4 linked regions of the Drosophila melanogaster genome follow. The protein of the gene in region 3 interacts with the protein of the main gene of each other region in a pairwise test. Each region holds a gene or a part of one and is shown on either strand. Other genes may lie near its edges. The genes, in order: sw, jigr1, tbrd-2 and Sdic3.

Region 1 (4,994 bases), on a different chromosome or scaffold from region 3:
AGGATTACCATATCAAGCGTACACTAAGCAAGTCAGAAAAACTCTAAGGAGCATAGATCGTGTTGTGGATAGATATTGAGCAAACTACACAAATACATAATGTGAGTATATAGAGAAGTTCAGCATAGAGAGGTTTCAAGGTAATGGTAATATATAGGACTACGGGTATAGATACGCTTCTTACGAGTGGCACACAGACCGCTACGGAGGCTGAAAAGTTCTAAGTACGGAATTACGCATACAACGAGGACTACTCACCATAATAATCCGTAGCATGAGCTGCAGTTTTTTTTTCGTGCGTGCCAAAAACAGTTAAGAGGGAAGAAAGAGAAAGTAAATAGACAAATTATTAAATGCGCTCGAACGGTTTACACTCTAATGATCTATGGGTTCGGATGTGGACATGGATGGATGTGGATGGAAAGATTGATGCTGGACAGCGGTGGCCATGCGGAAATGAGTCGAGACTGCGGCGTTAATGAAGCGAAACAAGGCCAATTGGTGTAATGCTTAGTGCTACCAATAACCTTTACAAAAACGCGACAAAAATTAAAGTAATAATTATAAAAAGGCGTGTTTAAAGAGGGGATAAACATGACACATTGCGTTGCAGTACCATTTACAACCTATATTTTTAAAAGTTCGGATTGAAGTGTTCAGATAGTGTGCTGAATATTGCATAGTATACAAAATAGTGACGAATGGTTTTTGAAATCGTGTCTGAGCTTTTCCAGTTTCGAACATTTATAAAATAAACTAACAAAAACAATTGCTGGGATAGATGGGCTAAATTGAGAGCACTGAAGGAACCAAAAACCAATAATGCGGATTGACCAAATCAAGAGAAATCTGTCATAAGATGATCAATCGACCAGAAACTACGTTTCTTGGGCATTGCAACCAAATTGGGCCGAGGCAAAGCAAAAGGAAGCTGTCTAAATTCAAGCAGTTAAGTAGATAGTCCACCGAATTGTCTACGCATGTACGATGCTGACATCCTTCTGCCTGCAGAGCCTTACAGCAAATTTAGACTAAGTCGTGTGGGCGCTTCACATGGAGCTCTTCGTGTATTCACATGTGTATGCCGCTTCGTTTTGTCACAATAACTTTCGTGTGCTGATGTGTGATTAGGTGTGGAGTTTGCTTAAAATTAAGATTAGTACCTTTACGTGGACGCCACCAGTCCTCCATATATCCTGACAGAGGCGAGGAGTGGCAAGAAAGAACTGTATTTGTTATTTTATTTCACTATGGATTATGGTTTCTGTTTGCATCTTTGTTTTTTTTCTCTGCTGGGAGGGACGGGAGTTGGGGGCACTTGATGGGGAACAAAGCGCGGAAACAGGGTCAGCATGCAGCGGTGTAAGCTAGCACCAGACAGAAAGGGAGAGTTTGGAGCACAGACATGGACAGAGAGAGTGAGAGGGACAGATAGATACACTGCTCCTCCGGCGGACGGTGACGGAGTCTGGGAAACAGCAGGGAAGCCAAACACATTTAACAACGAGACCAAGAATAAGAACGGTAACAGTAGCGAGAGATGGAGTCAAACTATGGATAGTGGTTACGGTAGAGCCCAACCAGATCCCCGCCCCGGGGGCAATACGCACCATCGCCGTTTCCGCCTCCGGTACTGGTCGTCTGGGTCTGCTTTGTGTAGACCAGTGTCTCTTTTGGTGGAATGTTCGTAGCCTGCACATTGTAGACGCTTAGGTTGAGGGGCTGTTTCTTTCCGCCGCTGGTGGGGGGTGCACATAAGAAATTGGTATTAGTTAGGAATCGGTTAAATGGCAATAGCAATAGTACAATACATTGATCGTTAAAACTTAATCAGTACTAAGCCCATTGTCTAATCTGTGTAATACTAATTTTTAAAACGGCTAATGCTAAAATTGAATTGTAAAAATTGCCACGCTCTCTAACCAGGATTCCAATTTTGACTACTGATATTTTTTTATGTTAAGCTTGTAGATGGGGAATCTGTCTCTACAGTTGTTTAGCAAAAAAAACTTAGGGAATCAAATGTCTATACCTATATGACCTGAATATGTCTAATATGCCCTGCGAACTTCTGCTTAAGATGGTAATTCTACTCACAAAGCTTTTGCTATGAACTGGCTTACCTCTGGCCATTGACAGTGGCTTGGAGGCTGGCGTCGGGGGTCTGTGTGTTCGAGTTGTCCGAAGTCATCGAGTTGACGGAGGAGAGTGAGGAAAGGACCTCGGAGACGGGGGCCACGCCCAGCGATGACAGCATTTCGTCGAGATCCCTGAAAGAGGCGAACGAAAGTTGGATGATGGCGGTGCTGAGTCAGCTCTGAGGAGAAGCTTATGGCAAACCCACTTGCGCTGATCCTTGTCGATGCCTGCTCCGCCGCCAATGCGACCGGCCGCCTCCTCCATGTCCTTGATCTCCTTCTCGCGACGCCGGCGATCCTTCTCCTCGCGCAGGGCGGCCAACTTGGCCTTCTTGCGTTCCAGCTCAGCCTTGCGATCCATTTCTCGGGGCGATTAGCTGCTGCGATTTGCTGTTCGAGTGGGCGTTCGGTACGGGACTCTAGATCTCTGGCGGGCCAAGTTCTCTGCAAGGGGGATGCATGATTAATGGTCGCCAATATTGGTAGCTTTGATGATGTCACCAACTGCTGGCCAGAAGCAAAGAAAGTGGGTGCGCTGTGTGGTTCTCCACCGCTCGCTTGGCGTGGCGCAGCCAACTCATATGTTCTCCTATCGCCAAGTGGAGCACATTTCCCGGTAACCCAGTGAGTGGCCGTCACTTTACTTTCCTTTGCTCGGCCAAAAAAAAAAAATCAATAATCCAGCGATTGGACTGTGACGTCTTTTCGCCCTGGCTGCGTTTTTCAACTTCCTTCTCTCACTGCTCTTGTGATTTTTCCATGAAATGCACAAAAACCCACCTCTTGACTGTCTTTACTCGTTGTTCGGCTGCTTTTTAAGTACTTAAATCATCATTTTTCAACAATGTAAAAATGCGACTGACTTTTAATGTTTTGACTAACTAGAGATGGAACATCGCCCACGGCCAGTTACTTCGCACAGTTATTGGCACACGAAGGAGATAATGGGCGCGGCTGGTTTACATAGATGCCCAAAGGGTGTGGAAGACTAGGATTCTTAGCGGGATTCCGAATTCTTAATTAACACAAGTTTAAACACAAGAATAAGATTTTACTACTGTACGGCGATAGCTGTGAACAGCTGTCGTGACAGCGATAGTTCCAGTCTTTCCATGCACTAGCGCAGCGATCTGGCAGCACTACTGCGTTTAGCAGAACGCTGTTAGTTACAGTTACATTTCACATACACTGCAACACACTTTATATTTATTAATATTTATATTTATTTATGGAAGAAATCTACAAATCATGCTTAAATAGAGCTTCAAACTGAATATATATATATATATATATATATATATATTATATTATATATTATTAATTATTAATTATTAATTATTAATATTAATTATAAATATATTAGATTAATATATAATTATATTACCATAATTAATAATAGGTAAAAAGTATGTTAATACAGAGATATGCCGCATTTTAAAATTGTTATGTTATAGGTGGCTTACAGTTATCATAAAAAAGTTTTGCACACTCACACACATGCACTATGAAATATCAGTGTTGCTTTCTGAAGCGTAACTTTTAATTTATAGATTCAAGAGAGGTATCTGTAGGTAAATTCGAATTGATACACAGTACCTTAATGATAATACACTGATGTCCCATATGCATACAAAATTAAATAATCCTTTTAGGTCTAAAATTCAGCTAAAATTAATGCCCACAACCTGTGCATTTGTTTGATTAAAATGCTGAGTGTGAAGTACTACAAAATGTAAAAATTAATTAATTAAGAAAGGTAAGCAAGACTATTCTTGTAAAAAATTACCAATACCGCTGAAATTCCCATAGTGACTCAAAACTACTGAGCTTACAAAATACGTTCAGGGTTCTGAAAGTATGTACATACATACGTATGTACATATGTATGTAGATATGTCGTGTTTTAATTGCCCCTCCAAAGTGCCAATTACATTCAATGCGCGTCTTTGGGCCAGTGAAATCACCAGAACCCGCCGTGGAAATAGAAAGCGCACTTAGGCGATGTGTCTTTCCACAATGTATGCCATAATTTGTGCCACCAATGCCAGATGTTGCTGCAACGCGGGGCGCAAAGCGAATCCAACAGTAGTACGTGCCTTCGGTCGTATCTGAATGTATCCGAAAGTATCTGAAAGTATCTGAAAGATACCGTATCCAAAGTGCCAAGGAAGAGGTTTTCATGGGGTTAAAGCGCCCATGAAACTTTTGGGGATTTTATTTCGATTCGATTTGGCGCATCTGCACATCTGCACATCTGAATTTAAATGCCAGCATTCGACGACCCAAAAACTGTAGTCCGAGTTGCTCGTTTCGTAACCGCATTGATAAACCGGACTCGAACTGGAATCGCTCCGATGATCCCCCATGCTGCAGTAAAAACCTTGAATTGCCAAATCTTCGACTGCTCAACTTTTTGCTCCAGGCCGACAAATCTTGCACATGGGCGGGAGTTGGCAAACCGATGAGCGGATACTTAATATCTTCGCTTTTTCCCCGCGCTAATTGCCAGGCCAAACCTGTCGCACCGAAGTCGAGATGCCAGCGCGATTAGTTTACAAATTAATTTGCCAATTGAATTTCAGATTTAGACGTCTGGCCGGGCTTCCAAGAACCACCTCCACCTGGTTTCCACATGGGATCGGGCGAGAGTAAAAGTGTATTGTTAATTAGCCACTACACGCCGCCAACCTAAACTAGTTTCCCAGCCCGTCTGGTTTGGCCGCATCTCCGATCTCCGATAGCTGATTATATTTTCATTATTTTTTATTTCTTTCCTACTCCGATCGGAGCGGATCGATCGCATCTCCCAAGGACAGCGGCTTTTGGGTCATTGCGTGGCCGCTTAGCATATTTATG
Region 2 (4,586 bases), on a different chromosome or scaffold from region 3:
CAACAAACAGCGGCAAAAAAACAGAAATATCAAGATAAAAATATTTTTTCGGGCGGCCCTTTGTGGCTCTTCGATGGGACAGTGGCTACACTGCCAAATATTACCCAGTCATAACGGTCAAATAAGATAATTAATAACCTCGCCAAATTTGAATAAATAATTACATATAAATTGAATAGACTGGAACCTTGAAACTATCTTTGCACCTATCAAAGTGATTTTAGTTAAGGTATGTCATGTCAATATTAGTCTTGATTGTTTCCGGTGTATTGGCCCGCCTAAACCAAGTATTTGCTGATTGCGGCTTTGTTGTTGTTATTGTCGTGGCGCGTCTCAAGTCTGGAGTCGTCTCTTTGGGCTCTCTTAAGGGATCTTCTTCTGGGATCTGGGACTTCCTCCCTCCACACACGCGTTTTGAATTCGATTTGCTGATTGCCGTTTGCTTCTTGGCGAGATTTCGATTTCGTCGGCAACAACAGCAACGACGAGCCTCGACCATGAAACAATTTTATATTTTTGTGCAGAAAAAACGAAGATCAATAAAATTTTACCGACAACTGTATTTCGCTCAGACATCGGAGTATAGGGCCCTAAAATTAGTGACCAAATTGTCAAAGTGTGGGCTTTTGGGAGGGGGTGTGGGTCACATTTTTGGTTACAGTAATCAGGACAGAATCGAGCAAAAAGAAATTGAAACTAAGCAGCTGGTAAAAATTTGATCTTAATTTTTTGTGCGCTTCGGTTTTGTAGACTCCGAAAGAGCTACAAAACAAAGTGTTGAAATTTATTTAGGGAATGTGGAGCTTTGTTGCGTTAGAAGGTTATGTTCACTCCATGGGAAACTAATGTGGCAAAAGACAGATTGGGACTGATTGATATGGACTACGATAAATGCTTACATGACCCATGAATTGTTATAATTAATAGTATAGGAAAGAAATGAGTGTATAAATAATATTTCACATCAAGAAAGTAGTTTTACTGCAGCATTTTCCTTGATTTCCTATTATCTACATTTGAGTTGAAAAGGTCCAGAAGTTTTGCCTATCAACTGTGAACTAAAAACACACAAAAAGAAAGTTGCCCCTAGGCCTTGTGCATAATTCTGTAGAAAAGCGAGAAACAAGGAGGCTTTGTAAAAAATGGGGATGAGAAGAGAGGGCGCCGTGTGAGTTCCTGCAGAATCCGCTGCAAGAAAGGTGCTCCAACAACAACAAAAACAAAAATGGCAATTCCCAGAAACGAGAGTGTGTGGGAGGTGGAGAAGGTGAAGATGGAGAATTCTTCCAAAGGAGCAAGAAGAGCAAAGAATAGGGGCCGTCACTAATGAATTTGTATGCAGAGACCGCAATGATTTGGCACAAAAACAAAAGCAACAGTAACGGAAATGCGAGGATTAAGAAAAAAAAGGAAAACGCGGGTCCAACGAACAACATTTTGTGAAATTAGTGCAGACAGTCGAAAAACGCACCTTTTATGTTTTGTAGCCTCTCTTCACATTTTACGATTGCCAGTTGTTTCTTTTTCCATGATTTTTGATTTATGCAAAAGCAATAAAAATTATTATAATGAAGGCGCTGACATGGCTGATGGCCAGAGCAAAAAGCGTGCACTGAGAGAAATAGCTTATACGAATCATCATCAAAGTTCGTCAAAATGATTATTCAATCAATCGGTTTCTTGAAGAAAGTGTGAAGATTTTGAAAAATAAATAAGTTATCCTGGTTTAATATTTAGTTTAAATACTTTTTAAAAACTACAACTGCCATTCTAATTTAAATTAAGATCCTCACATTTTATGTCTGTGTAGGCGAAGAACAGAGTTGGCGACACGTGATGATGGTAGGGATAAGGAGAAGAACTGGGGGCGATGACGATGCTTATGTTCCTTGTCCGTTACTTTAACTTTACTTGCTCTTTCTCCCGCACTGGGGCTCATGTTAAAAAACAAATAAAAGTTCAACAAAAAAGAGCGCGAAGAGAATGAGTCAGAATGTTTGTTTGACTTCTGCACAAAGAATGGCTTCTTATTTCTTTGTGCTTCTGCAAAAGCACATGTAAATAAATCAAAAGGCGACAGGAAAATCGCCATTTTCCCCGCCTATATGCACAATCATTTGGGCGCAAAAAGACTTTTTAGCAGAGCGCTTTAGTTTAACTTCCAACTATTAGCTATTTTGATGGTCAGCATAAATTCTTCACCTTTTTGCCGTAATTATCTGCAGGAGAGAGTCACTCCTCGCGGCTGCGCCCAAAAACGGTTAAACATAAAAAAACTAACGGCAGTTTTATAACGCTGGTCTTGGGAACTTGGGGAGATTACCTTTTGGGAGGCTGCGCCAAAAATGAGCGGAAAATGCCCGCAAAAAGAGTGGGCGCTCAGAGATCCCCGAAGATGATACACAAGCAATCAAAAGAAATGCAACGGCCTCATCGCGCTCCTCATCCTTCTTCTCCTCCTTCCTCCTCTATTCCATCTTCACCCATTTCTTCCTGCACTTGCCGATGCACCGTTACGCGGAGTTGAGCCCGGGTTCAAGATCACCGCACCCAGCCAAATGTTTTTTCTGTTATTTTTTCCTTGATTTTTTCGGGCGCATTCTCCGCCTTGTCTCTTTGCACTTTTACACAGATTCTTTGGGGGATATTTCGTCGGTTTATGATGTTTCTTTTCCTTTAGTTGGTGTTTTTCTATTTTTTTTTTTTTGTGAGGGCACTTGGGACTAACGGTTCTGTTTGGTGAAGTTAACAAATAAAAGTAGCGCGCGCACTCAACTCACCGACAAACAAACACAAGCGCACAAAAATGTTTAACACACCATCGTCGTGCCGGAGGCTCAAGGCTTTAACTTCCTCGATCCGCAGTAACTTGGTCACTTTTTACTTTTATTTCTTTTGATCAGTAGTAGTCAGGAGTTGGAAGGCTCTTTTGAGACACAACCGTCGCCGCCGATGGATTGCGCGCAATTGAATTTCCTCCACAGCGGCGACTCAGCTCGTCGCCTCAACGAAAACGACTTCAGAACTCAGACTCGAATTTCTCTGCCGACGCCGGCAGAAGCAGCGGCTGCAAAAAGGAACGCAGCTCGCAGGGGTGGCAACTTTTAGATACCTACTACCTGCCTTTTAAGGGGCATAGAATGTATAAAGTAACACTTCAAGTCGTGGAGTCTGACGTTAGCTAGACATAAAATATAACAACTTAAGTATACATACATATGTGTATAAATTATACTTTTGTTTAAGGATTTTCATAGTGTATTGGTTTAAATTTAAATGCAGAATAAGATGCATAGCTATATCCTTAGCAACTCGTATGAACTCTCTTACTCTCGAAAAATAAAGGGTACCTCGATCTTTGTTCGCTCTCTGCGCCGAATCGCTTGATACTCTCCCAGAAAGGACCAAAGGTTTCCCTAACAAGGCTTCTGGAATGTCGTAGAACAGGGGGATGTTATGTCATACGAGAAAGAGACTGTCTAAATAAGGATGCAGCCACTGATTTTGAAGGATTTCAAAAGCCTCACCTAATAGATTTTTTTAGGATACTTCTAGAATAATTTATAATATATTTTTAAATTTAAGAGACATATTTAGATATGGAAAGTTCTGCGTAAAGGATACACTTTAAAAGATTTAATGTATATTTATGAAAGCAAATTCATTGCTGACTTACTATAGGTACATATCCCAACATCAGCAATTGTATCCTTCCGAATGCATAGAAGATCCCCTAGAAGCCCAAAAAAGAAGTTTTAACTAAGACTTAAAGCCCAAAAAATGTTGTCCGTCGAGTGAGGCCTTCTGTCAGCTAATGATCGCCCAGAGCAGGCTGGTAAAAGTTGCGAACCTTGGGCCCGGGGACAACTCCATTAGGGCGGCCCACATTCGGTGGCCAGTTGGGTTTACATTTGGTTGGCGAGCAGGTGCATCGGCGGCAAGAGTGCGACCGAGAGTCGCGAGGAAAGTTGCGGCGCGTGGCTAGAGATCGATGAAGAAACCAGAAGACGAAGACCCGCGCTGCCCGCATATCGCGCATCAGGACAATCGCTGAGGCACGAGGCATGTCCGGACACATCTGGAGTGGCACAGAGTCTCATAGTCACACCTTGAGCAGAGCTGATCGCTTAGCTATGAAAAAGATACCATGAAATTTATTACATTTCTTTCAACCAGATCCTTTTTAAGCTTGATCAAAGAACTAAGAACTATAAATCAATTAATGGCATTTAAGATCATTTGTAAGATCAATAACATATTTCGAAAATGAAACCAACAAAGGATTTAAGTTTACTAACTTTTTATTCGGCTTGTAATTGTGCTTTATGCTTATCTTCAATGTGTCTGTACTTATATAATGAGGACGGCTAATATTTCAGCTTTTTTGCAGCGCAGCATAAGAGTCGCAATTTAGCATAAATGAAAACTGAACTGAGATCGCCGATGGCCAGGGCATCATTAAACACATTAACAGACAACAGACGATGGCGATGGCAGGTGATGCCAAACAGAGACAGGTTGGCAAACTGACTGAGTGGCTAAATGACTGACGGTATGACTGACTGACGGACTGAATGACTGACTAA
Region 3 (4,865 bases):
GCAGGACTCAGGTGTGCGAGCGTGTCGGCATGCTGTGAACAAGGCGCCGTCCACTGTGCCCGTAATTAACCCCTGTCTCTGTGGCATTTCCCTTTTTCCATCCCATTTTCACTTTCGTTTGCATCCGAGTTCTTTTGGCAGTTTCGCAATGCGAGTTTCCTTATGCAAATGAGAGTGCATCCTCGCCCTTCCCTTTATATTCGCCAAGTGAAAATCTTATGCAAATTTCCTTGGCTGTGAAAAACTCCTTCCGCCGCGAGATACAGGATCTGCGTGATCTCCGCTCTAATTTGACTGCTGGGTGTCAGGTACTGCGAGCATCGTTATCCTTTTTTGGCTGCGATCGTGAGAAAGTTCGGAAATTTGCATAATTTTTCGTGAAAATTTTGCTGGTCTACGTGATCGTTGCAAAGACAGTAGAGATTGGAGATGCTAAATCTCTGATCGCAATTTCCCAAGCTCTTAGGAAATAATGAATTACAAACATATTAATTTTTTTTAGTTTCTTGTCCAACCATATATGTACACATGAATGTGTAATATAGGTGTTTACAGTTTTTATTTTCTTATATTTGGGATATTTGTAGTGAAACCCCCCTTTTTTTTACATATACATAAAATGCAAGAATTCATAAGACTTCTTTATGAGGATTAGGCCCTCAGCTGTCCTTCGGGTACATTGGGGACCACTTCAACGTCAGAGGAATCGTTGGACTCGGAGCTGTTGTTCGAAGATGAACTGGAACTGGAGCTTGATCTGGAGCGCGACCCTGAGCTGGAGCCAGCGTTGGAGCCAGAGCTAGAACTAGAGTTAGATCTAGAGCTGGCGCTGGAGTTTGACCTGGGTCTCAACTTGGTGTCGGACATGGACCTGGACCTGGACCTAGAAAGTCTGCCGGACTTGGATTTCATTTCCGACTCGCTGCTGCTGCTGCTGCTCATCTGGAGTTCGACAACGTGTGGCAACTTGGGGGGGGATCTGATGGGTTGCATTTGCAAAGGATTACTATTTATTGGGAGATTCCTCATTGGAGTGCCACCAATAGCCGACAGTTTTACCGGAGCGGAGACGTCATCGTCGCTGGTATCGCTCAGATTGTGAGTCTCAACAACACCTGCTCCCAATTGTGGAGCCATTACATTAGCCTGTAGCGGCTTCAATTTGGCGGTTAGCGGAGCAGTTGCTCTCTTACGCACCACGTTATTGGCAGTGTTGTTTTTATTCCTGAAATTGATCAAGGGACCACATCGGCGACGATTTTTGTTGAGCATCCGTGTAATGTTCACCAGCTGCGACTGCAGTGCCCGCTGAAGTCCTTCCTTTTCCGAAGGCTGCATGTCCTTGAGCTTCAGCTTGCTATGGGCCCTAGTTGCCTTGGTGACGGCACTTTTCATCATGATCATAGTATCCGTGGCGAGACCTTTGACATCGAAGCTCAGATCTCCACAGTTCTCTGAGGAAAATCCTTCGATTTGCTGGACCATGTGAATTATCTCCTTCATGGCGTTTGTCGGAAGCTTGGCAAATAATTTCTGTGTGGCACATCGATCCGCGTCAGTGATACGCATTGAGGCATCGATAGCTTCATCATCTGAGGATTCAATGCTAACTGCCATGAGGTTATCTATTTCATTTCCACTTAACAACTCCATAGCTGGCTTAAATTCGCCTTGGACCAAATCCGTTTCCTGCTCGGGGCTCATCTTCTGTCGTTTGCTAGATGATGGGTTTGGAGAATTTCGTTGACCTGCCTCCATTTTGTTTATCATCTTGTTTAAGGTGTCACAGAAAGTCTCCACCAAACTCTTGGCTGTCAGAGGTTCCCCGGAACCGGGCATTTGGACGCACTGCATCAAGCTATTTACCGTTAACTTGGCGGCAGCCAGTAGTTCATTTAGATCTGCGGCATTCAAAGCAGATTCCAGCGATGAGTTTCCATTCATGGAAGTACACCAAGCCGCCGGCTGATTAAAGACTCTTTCGTAGAGGATTTTAGCCGGTTCGTGGTACTTTCTAAAGCAGCCATCCACATGCAAGCAAAATTCATTGACAGACTTGAAGTACTGGCGATCAACTTTCTTTTGCAACGAATCCCACTTGTTACTGAAGAAATTGCGCGTCATGGCATCTGTCTGATTGGTGATGCTCTGCAACTTCTTCAATAATTCCCGGCACTTGCGTTCCGTCTGCGCGGAACTAGGAGCATTGGTCCTAGGCCTGCCCACCGCCTTGGGATCCCTATTGCAGGGCACCTCTGGACCAGACGGCATGCCTCGGAGTTTCTTGTGAAAGAACTTCTCCAGCATCTGGCCCTTGCGGTAAACGACATCGCCGGATCGATTGAATAGGAAGCAATTGCTAATAATTTGCTTGAAATCGGCAATCGCTTCATTGACAGATTTATAGTAGTTGTTCTGAACTCTTTTCACAATGGTACCGATATCCATGGGACGATGGATAACCGTGTAGTATGTGGGCACCATCAGAGCCTCCGTGTCCACGGGCTCCAAGAAGTCCAAGGCATACTTCTTCTTGCGAGCCTCGTCGAGCAAATGCTTCTTGAAGTAATGCAACTTATTGGTATAACGACCCGCCATTCCGGGATGCGGTATAAACTCGGGTTGGACACGATTTGGGAGTTTTAGTTTTACGGAAAGCGGCTTGCAAGATGCCTGCCAATAGAATGATTTGTAGAAATTCGCGCAGTGAATAGCTTACGAACTCACCATGCTAGAGATATATTTTTCAGTTACTGGTTACTGGTTGTTCGTTTGTTTCGATTTTTGAAAACGTGTCTCTTTCAATTTTACACAAATATAAACTCGAATTTGACTACGATTACGATTGAGTTTTGGGAACACTTTTGCCGTTCGACCGTCCGCTTTCAGGAACAAATTTTTGTGATGGAAAAACACATATCACCGCTCAGCTGTCCTATTTTGACAAGTGAAGTAATTGCACAGCCTACTGCCATTTAGAAATCACTAGCATGAAAGTTTCGAAAGTTCTAGTCAGGGATGCCAAGACATTGCATTTAAATATGCGGCAACCCCTAGGATTTTGCAAAAGTGAAAGTCACTATTAGAACATTCGTTTATTTTAAAATCCTGCCTATTCTTAAGCCCTCGATAAGCAGCAGTGCACCAATTATAGGCTGGTTGATCAGAAAGACACCGAAACTAAAGCAAACAATGGCACATCAAAGGGAATGGAGGCAAACATCCAACCACCCATACCACCCACCACCACACCCGACCGGCCCCATCCACTGAATATTTATAATAATTTGCACCACTTCAGAGGCTTTCAGCGTTTTGTACCCCACCTCCCGGTTGGAAAATGTGGCAATGGGACATAAAAACTGCTTTTTGCAATTTACATCAACATTTTTATCACCCCACCACCCATCGGCACATCCCACCACCGACAACCTTCAAGGAGTACAGCAACAACAACACGCTTTTCCTATTTGCATACATATGTAAGTGTGTCCCATAAATACAGATATACGGCCACGCCCCTCACCGCCGCCCACCACGACAGCCTCCTGCGTCTTTTTGCGCACTTAATTACACACGCATACGCTTCATTCCACTTTGCGGTGCTGCTTGTCTAGGCATACGAGCCACCCAACCAGCCAAACCACCCACCCAACCAGGCACCCACTGGAGGACAGGAAGGACTCCGCAACCATTTGCGAACCACCGCGGTGGGACAGGCCCACTACGGAAATAGACACGGGGCACACTCCGGAAAAATCGTACAAAATGGAGGTCATCACTGTAATCCCAATCGATAATGCAAATTAACAAGGAGTCGTAAAAATTATGAACTTGAATATGGGCAAAATTAATTGCAAAATTATACAAACTAATTCCCATCGTAGATATTACGATATTATTATATAATATTCCTAAATATCATATGCTTCTATGTTTCACAGTGTTCGCAGTACAGTCCTGCGATTGTCGTCCTATATCCTTGACTAAGGACTTTTCGTGCTGCAAATTTGTTGCTCTTTAGGCAATGGCACTCACAGAAAGGACCACTCACGGAATCGCTGGAGACGCAGAATGCCCGGCTATCGCAGGTTCTACCTGCCTGGGCCAAGGTGTCAATATTGCGTTATCATCCCGGGACTTTGAGTCCCAGCTCCGATCCCAGATCCCCGACCCCTGACCACTGAGCCCTTAGCCCTCTCACCCCGGCAAACGTCCACGTCCTTGGCCATTCTTTCGTTAATTTTATCTCTGACGGCGATTAATGCGAATAAATTTTATAGACGAAAATGTGCACTCGCATGTCCCGTCGCCGAGTTATCCTCTTTTGTGTGTGCGTGTTTTCCCTGGGACCTTTTCCCCCGCCACCGCTCGGCTAGCATTTTCCTTGGTTTTCCTACGTTTTCCTCTTCGCCCCCTGCCTTTGGCTAATGTTTTTTTACTGACTTTCTGTGGCCATTGTGCACCGCCTGTGTTTTGGAGTATGTGACTTTTGCTGTTTGTCTTCGGCACCTGCAGACCTGCAGTTGTTAATTGTTCGATGCCCGGTGCTTACGCGATCTTGCAGCTCTCAGGATCCCGACGAATCCGATTCCGATCCCTCGGCGATTCACCATTCTCCCTTCTCCCTTCCCTTCCCTTTCCGTCCGATTTTATATTTATTTTTTTAGCAATTGCCGCTGACTCAGCATCCGTGGAGAGCGTGGAAACTCGTAGTCTCAATGCCCCCAACCAACCCTCAATTAGGATAGGGCTCGGTATGGAAACAGCAGGTCCAGGTCCAGGTACAGGCTGTCCAGAGCGGAGATACAAGTTACAAGATGATACAAACAGGTTTCCCATTTTCTTAACCCTCGTCGTGGTCG
Region 4 (7,321 bases), on a different chromosome or scaffold from region 3:
AAAACCTGCGTGTCCAGAGTGTCCGTCTTGTATTTTAACCTGGCTTGGGCTGCTATCTGGGCTTCGGACGAGGGAGGGCATCCCAGGTCGCAAAAGATGGCCAAGTGGTCGCTGCCAGTGTAACTCTCGCTGAGTCTCCACCTCGTTAGCGTGAACGACGAGCCGCTAGTGAAGGTGAGGTCCACCACAGAGCCCAGTCCGGCGCGCCTGAACATGTGCCGGTTTCCATGGTTTAGAAGAGCCCGGTCCAACGTCGCTAATGCCTCCAGCGCCATCCTGCCTCTCGCGTTGGTGGTTCAACTGCCCCAGCTCGCTGACCTTGCGTTGAAGTCGCCCGCTATAAGAATCTGGGTGCGGCCTCTAGCGTCCGCTGCCAGTCTATCTAATGCCCGACTAATTGCGATTAAGGTCAGGCTGGGGGCTAGGTATAAGCTGTACACCCACCATCTGCCTACCCTAGCCCTAACAAATCCGATGTCCGAAAGAACATCTGTTAATTGTTGGGCTTCTCTGCTGCACCTCCAGATCGCTGCTTTCTTGGAGCGGTCGGGCTCCACTCTGCGTTCGCGCACCGTCTGCACTAGCAGGTCTTGGCCTGCAGTGCAGTGATTCAGGTTTAGCTGAATCAAAAGCATCATTGCAGTGCCTTTGGTGCTCCTTTTCCCGCCAATGGGCACTTCCGGGTGCCCATTTGGTGGTTGGTCGCTTGGGTTCCTCTGCTTGCGCACAAGAAGCACTTAGCTTCGTTAGGACACTCGGAGGCCTTGTGTCCCGCGGTCACGCATTTGAAGCAGCACTGGCTTCTGTCGACGGTGCTTTTACAATGGACCGCTATGTGGCCTTCCTCCAGACATCTGAAGCATCTTTGGCGTGGCTCCAGCTCCTTGATCTGGCATGTGAAATGTTATATGTGTAAATGATCTGATCTGGAGTGCGTGACGGACTGGACACGCCCGTCGACGTCGGTCAGGCCAAGGAGCAGGCCGCCCAGCTCTACTCGGCCGGCGAGGCCAAGCTGGGAACGGACGAGGAGGTCTTCAACCGGATCATGTCGCACGCCAGCTTCCCGCAGCTGCGACTCGTCTTCGAGGAGTACAAGGAGCTCTCCGGGCAGACCATCGAGCAGGCCATCAAGCACGAGATGTCCGACGAGCTGCACGAGGCCATGATGGCCATAGGTCAGTATATACATATTTAACTGTTCCGTTATAAGTAATTGTTGTAACAGACACTTGGTTAAATGACACACTTCTTAACCTTTTAGTTGAGTGCGTCCAGTCACCGGCGGCCTTCTTCGCCAACCGCCTGTACAAGGCCATGAATGGCGCCGGCACCGATGACGCCACGCTCATCCGCATCATCGTCAGCCGCTCGGAGATCGACCTGGAGACCATTAAGCAGGAGTTCGAGCGGATCTACAACCGTACGCTGCACAGCGCCGTGGTGGTAAGTGGATCTCGAAGAATCGCAAGTGCTTCGCACATGGTTAACGCACCCCTTTCCCCTTCTCTTCACGTACTTGTCGGTATTTGTTGCGGTGTTTGTGTTGTCCTAGGACGTAAGTATTGGCCACGCCATTGGTGAAACGGATGCATTCCTGGTCTTGGTTACTCCACGCTATCAAGTGCTCCTTTTACGCTACATATGCTGCCAAAATCCCCATCAAATTATTTCTAAGAACGCCGAAGCAAACTGGTTCTTGGGCATTTTTCGATATCTCATTATTGGCTTGCCAAAAAAGTATTTTCGGGCAAAGTAGTAATTGTAGTGTAGAGGGCATAGCCAAAAAAGCAAGAACTTGGATCTCGCTTCAATACGTTCCTTTCTTTACTTTCCAGGCGGAGACCTCTGGTGACTACAAGCGGGCCCTGACAGCCCTACTTGGATCCGCCTAGGCCCGAGGATGTGGCAGCTGGTCCGCCCAATATTTTATTCGTGTTAATAGCTTTGATCGTAGTGTGCCTCTGGGGGAAATTCTCTTGGATTCCCCATCTATGAGTTTAACGTCAAAACAATATCAGTAGTCAAAATTGGAATCCTGGTTAGAGAGCATTGTAATCCAAACACAATTTTTACAATTTTAGCTTTAGCCGTTTTTTAAATTGAATAAGCTTAGTATTACACAGATTGGACAATGGGCTTAGTACTGATTAAGTTTTTACGATCAACGTATTCTACTTTGAGGTACTATAACTATTGCCATTTAACCAATTCCTAACTAATACCGATTTCTTATGTGCACCCCCCACCAGCGGCGGAAAGAAACAGCCTCTCAACCTAAGCGTCTACAATGTGCAGGCTACGAACATTCCACCAAAAGAGACACTGGTCTACACAAAGCAGACCCAGACGACCAGTACCGGAGGCGGAAACGGCGATGGTGCGTATTGCCCCCGGGGCGGGGATCTGGTTGGGCTCTACCGTAACCACTATCCATAGTTTGACTCCATCTTTCGCTACTGTTACCGTTCTTATTCTTGGTCTCGTTGTTAAATGTGTTTGGCTTCCCTGCGCTCCTGTTTCCCCGACTCCGTCCCCGTCCGCCGGAGGAGCAGTGTATCTATCTGTCCCTCTCACTCTCTCTGTCCATGTCTGTGCTCCAAACTCTCCCTTTCTGTCTGGTGCTAGCTTACACCGCTGCATGCTGACCCTGTTTCCGCGCTTTGTTCCCCATCAAGTGCCCCCAACTCCCGTCCCTCCCAGCAGAGAAAAAAAACTAAGATGCAAACAGAAACCATAATCCATAGTGAAATAAAATAACAAATACAGTTCTTTCTTGCCACTCCTCGCCTCTGTCAGGATATATGGAGGACTGGTGGCGTCCACGTAAAGGTCCTAATCTTAATTTTAAGCAAACTCCACACCTAATCACACATCAGCACACAAAACTTGTTGTGACAAAACGAAGCGGCATACACATGTGAATACACGAAGAGCTCCATGTGAAGCGCCCACACGACTTAGTCTAAATTTGCTGTAAGGCTCTGCAGGCAGAAGGATGTCAGCATCGTACATGCGTAGACAATTCGGTGGACTATCTACTTAACTGCTTGAATTTAGACAGCTTCCTTTTGCTTTGCCTCGGCCCAATTTGGTTGCGATGCCCAAGAAACGTAGTTGCTGGTCGATTGATCATCTTATGACAGATTTCTCTTGATTTGGTCAATCCGCATTATTGGTTTTTGGTTCCTTCAGTGCTCTCAATTTAGCCCATCTATCCCAGCAATTGTTTTTGTTAATTTATTTTAAAAATCTGAGGAACCATCCGTCACTATTTTGTTTACTATGCAATATTAGGCACACTATCTAAGCACTTCAATCCGAACTTTATAAAAATAAGTATCCTTTTGTCGTTCCTGTCCACCCCTATGAAGTCTAAAAACTTTCTTTAATTTTTGTCGCGTTTTTTTAAGCACCAAGGAATCACCAAGCATTACACCAATTGGTCATGGTCTTGGTCTTGGTCTCCACTCATTTCCGCATATCAACCGCTGTCCAGCATCAATCTGTCCATCCACATGCAAATCCACATCCATCTGCTTGTGTACATCCTACATTTGCATGACTGCTGATGCTACTGCATTGCCCGCCCCTCATTGTGTGTAGTGTTGCTAATCCCAGTCATTCATCCTGAAACCCGAGATAACAATGTCCTAACCACTAACAAAACTTATCGAAAACAACGAATACGCAGCAGCGACAGGAAGCTAGACTTGCTCCATTTCACGCACTCTCACGCAAACTCGACAGCGAGCGACCTTTGCCTGTCTCGCTCTCTCAGCTATTGATTCCGATAACCGATACCCTCTTCAATTACAGCACTATTATAGAATCGATCAATAAGCCGTTAACCTTAACTTGTTTAATTTATATGTAATATATTCGTTATATGTCTATCCCTTTCCCCCGATGTGATGCACGCACGCACACAGCCACACTCGAAAGAAGACGAGGACAGGCGAGAGGAACAAATGTACTGCAATGCTCCTTCTCTCCCTCTCTCTCGCTTTCCCCCTTACACTAAGAGCTTCATCGAATCCCCAAAATCCGAAACCCACAATCCCGCCTCAATGAGCCCCACAAACAAAGTCAAATGTCTCAGAAAATTACGGTTCCTAGCCAAGCGAAACGAAGACGAAGAAGAACGCGTAATGATAACTCAATCTAAACTCAAATAAGTTCAAAACCAAATCGAATCAGATCGAATCAATCAGAGCCGAAAGTAGAATTGTTCCTGTTCTGTCGATTGTCATGTTCCTCTAGCTGTGTTAGTTTTATACCTTAAACAGTGCTTGCATTTGATGCCCAAGGAGACGACGAAGAGAGCTCACTGCAGAACCTGGGCAACGGATTCACCTCCAAGCTGCCACCGGGCTATCTCACCCACGGCCTGCCCACCGTTAAGGACGTCGCCCCGGCCATCACACCACTCGAGATCAAGAAGGAGACTGAAGTGAAGAAGGAGGGTGAGTCACCACGTCGAATAGACATCTATTTACATTCTCTCGAATTCCCACCCTTAATGAAAAAGTCTTTCTTTCATTATACTAACTGTTATTTTTATTTATCAACCAGATATTTTTTTATTAATTAGTAGACCTTATAAAATCATTCGTTTGTTCTCTTGTTTGGTTAATGCTAGCAAAATATTTATTAATATTTAAGGTTTTGTTATGTTTTGCTTCCAAATGATGATGATATGCATTTGCATTGATGCATTTTATAATAATAAAAGCTCAAATGTTGTTTAGATCAGTGCTAAAGAATTCGCGTGCATTTCCATTGCACGCATGGAAATGTTGAGTAAGAAGCTATTCACAAATATTCCTCCTCTCCATCTTTCCTCCAGTCAACGAGCTGTCCGAGGAGCAGAAGCAGATGATCATACTGTCGGAGAACTTCCAGCGGTTCGTGGTGCGTGCCGGCCGCGTCATCGAACGGGCCCTCTCGGAGAATGTGGACATATACACGGACTACATCGGCGGCGGCGACAGCGAGGAGGCGAACGACGAGCGATCGCATGCGCGGCTCTCGCTGAACCGCGTCTTCTACGACGAGCGCTGGTCGAAGAACCGCTGCATCACCAGCATGGACTGGTCCACCCACTTCCCCGAGCTGGTGGTGGGCTCGTACCACAACAACGAGGAGAGTCCGAACGAGCCGGACGGCGTGGTGATGGTTTGGAACACCAAGTTCAAGAAGAGCACGCCCGAGGACGTCTTCCACTGCCAGAGCGCGGTGATGTCCACCTGCTTTGCCAAGTTCAATCCCAACCTGATCCTCGGCGGCACCTATTCGGGCCAGATTGTGCTGTGGGACAATCGCGTGCAGAAGCGCACGCCCATACAGCGCACGCCCCTCAGTGCCGCGGCGCACACGCATCCCGTCTACTGCCTCCAAATGGTGGGCACCCAGAATGCGCACAACGTCATCTCCATATCCTCGGACGGCAAGCTGTGCTCCTGGTCGCTGGACATGCTGTCGCAACCACAGGACACGCTGGAGCTGCAGCAGCGCCAGTCTAAGGCCATTGCCATTACATCGATGGCCTTCCCGGCCAACGAGATCAATAGCCTGGTGATGGGCAGTGAGGACGGCTACGTCTACTCCGCCTCGCGCCACGGCCTGCGCTCCGGGGTCAACGAGGTTTACGAACGCCATCTTGGCCCTATCACTGGCATATCCACGCACTACAACCAGCTGTCGCCGGACTTTGGCCACCTCTTCCTAACCTCGTCCATTGACTGGACCATCAAGCTCTGGTCGCTAAAGGTACCCATTTCAAGTTGCCAGTTCTCTGTCGTCTCCGGAATTAATTCAAATATGCCCACTCTTTCAGGACACAAAGCCGCTGTACTCCTTTGAGGACAACTCCGACTACGTGATGGACGTCGCCTGGTCGCCCGTGCATCCCGCACTCTTCGCCGCCGTCGACGGCAGCGGTCGCCTGGACCTGTGGAACCTCAACCAAGACACGGAGGTGCCGATCGCCTCGATTGTCGTGGCGGGAGCACCAGCCCTTAACCGCGTCTCTTGGACCCCATCCGGTCTGCACGTGTGCATCGGCGACGAGGCCGGCAAGCTGTACGTGTACGACGTGGCCGAGAACCTGGCGCAGCCATCGCGCGACGAGATCAAGATGAACCAGAGCGATGAGGTCTAGGACGATATAGTTAACTGGTAGTTGAGAGTCGGTACCACTTTTGCTAATCTTACAGGAGCGACCTTGAATGAAATTTAATTTGTATTTTTGTATCTTTTGTGATCCCGCTACTGTGTATAGCCCAGAACTCAAAACTCAACCGCAGTCCAAGTGCTCAGAATCACTCCAAAGCCCCCAAGAAATCAGGGGAAACTGCAAAATTCTCTAGATGACCACAGTAACTGTAACTGTAACTGTATTATTTTGTTACTCAATATTGGTTTCATTCCATAGCTATTTTCCCAGTTCTGTTCCCACCAAAAATCGCAACCAAATTGGCTATTCCGACTCCCCGGAAATTTGATTGGTGGTGGTAACTGAACTGCAAATAGGATTCATACTTGATTTTAAATTAGTGCAACTAACAAGATTGCAGAAAGATCGTTTATTGTTTATTCGACTGTCGGGCAGGCTGAAAGCAACACATAAATAAATTAAATGCTACATATTATATACAACAACGTATTAAGCGTGGAAGTGGGGGCTTGGGAATGAAGGTACGAGGACTGAAGATGGAGCTACGTCCCCTCAACTGAAAGAGCCCAAATGTAAATGTATTATAGCGAAGCCTATTTAACGAGATTAAATAAACATAATATCTATATATACACCTATAAGAAAGAGATGTCTATTATTTGGCTCGGATATAACCCTCAGAAATGAATTTATTCGATATTTTGTTTGTTTTTTTAATTCGTTTATTTAAGATTAACAGATTAACAATGTAACAGTAAGGATGGCAAATCCAGGACCCCCCGCGGTATGGCTGCATTGCTTCGCGAGGACGATCAGGATTTGCTTACTCGTAGACCCTCCTGGCTCTCTCGGCTCTTCTGAGCTCGGTGGTTATCGCTGCGGCGAAGCTGTTGACCGCTTGCCATTTCGCATCACCCTGCAGCATGAATGGGACTAGGTTATCCGCAGTCAGTCTGCTGCCAAGTACGGTTTCCAGAGAGCTCCGTTCCCTTGCATATTTAACCCACGAGAAGAGAACGTGCTCTGCTGTTTCGCTCCATCTACTTCTGCACCATGGGCAATCATTCGCCTCCTCATGTCCAAAGCGCTTCACATATCTGCGAAAGCAACCGTGTCCACTGACCAGCTGCGTTAGATGGAACG

The links.
Region 1: the proteins of tbrd-2 (region 3) and sw interact in a two-hybrid assay, tested with the Drosophila melanogaster proteins (one large-scale study listed by BioGRID).
Region 2: the proteins of tbrd-2 (region 3) and jigr1 interact in a two-hybrid assay, tested with the Drosophila melanogaster proteins (one large-scale study listed by BioGRID).
Region 4: the proteins of tbrd-2 (region 3) and Sdic3 interact in a two-hybrid assay, tested with the Drosophila melanogaster proteins (one large-scale study listed by BioGRID).

The regions. Positions count from the first base shown.
Region 1 is NC_004354.4:20,233,165-20,238,158, forward strand, and holds the start of sw (short wing), read right to left. Parts: upstream 3,035-4,994; 5' UTR 2,919-3,034; intron 2,787-2,918; exon of another isoform or gene 2,640-2,786; intron 2,583-2,639; 5' UTR 2,500-2,582; coding exon 2,345-2,499; intron 2,271-2,344; coding exon 2,124-2,270; intron 1,739-2,123; coding exon 1,611-1,738; intron 1,227-1,610; coding exon 1,164-1,226; intron 280-1,163; coding exon 259-279; intron 1-258. UniProt on the Drosophila melanogaster protein: Acts as one of several non-catalytic accessory components of the cytoplasmic dynein 1 complex that are thought to be involved in linking dynein to cargos and to adapter proteins that regulate dynein function.
Region 2 is NT_033777.3:25,636,267-25,640,852, reverse strand, and holds the start of jigr1 (jing interacting gene regulatory 1), read right to left. Parts: upstream 3,011-4,586; 5' UTR 2,781-3,010; exon of another isoform or gene 2,324-2,780; intron 1,061-2,323; exon of another isoform or gene 900-1,060; intron 1-899.
Region 3 is NT_033778.4:19,257,930-19,262,794, reverse strand, and holds tbrd-2 (testis-specifically expressed bromodomain containing protein-2), read right to left. Parts: upstream 2,887-4,865; 5' UTR 2,731-2,886; coding exon 2,728-2,730; intron 2,674-2,727; coding exon 652-2,673; 3' UTR 501-651; downstream 1-500.
Region 4 is NC_004354.4:20,188,934-20,196,254, reverse strand, and holds Sdic3 (Sperm-specific dynein intermediate chain 3), read left to right. Parts: upstream 1-2,027; 5' UTR 2,028-2,134; coding exon 2,135-2,184; intron 2,185-2,252; coding exon 2,253-2,380; intron 2,381-4,289; coding exon 4,290-4,466; intron 4,467-4,849; coding exon 4,850-5,772; intron 5,773-5,839; coding exon 5,840-6,163; 3' UTR 6,164-6,815; downstream 6,816-7,321.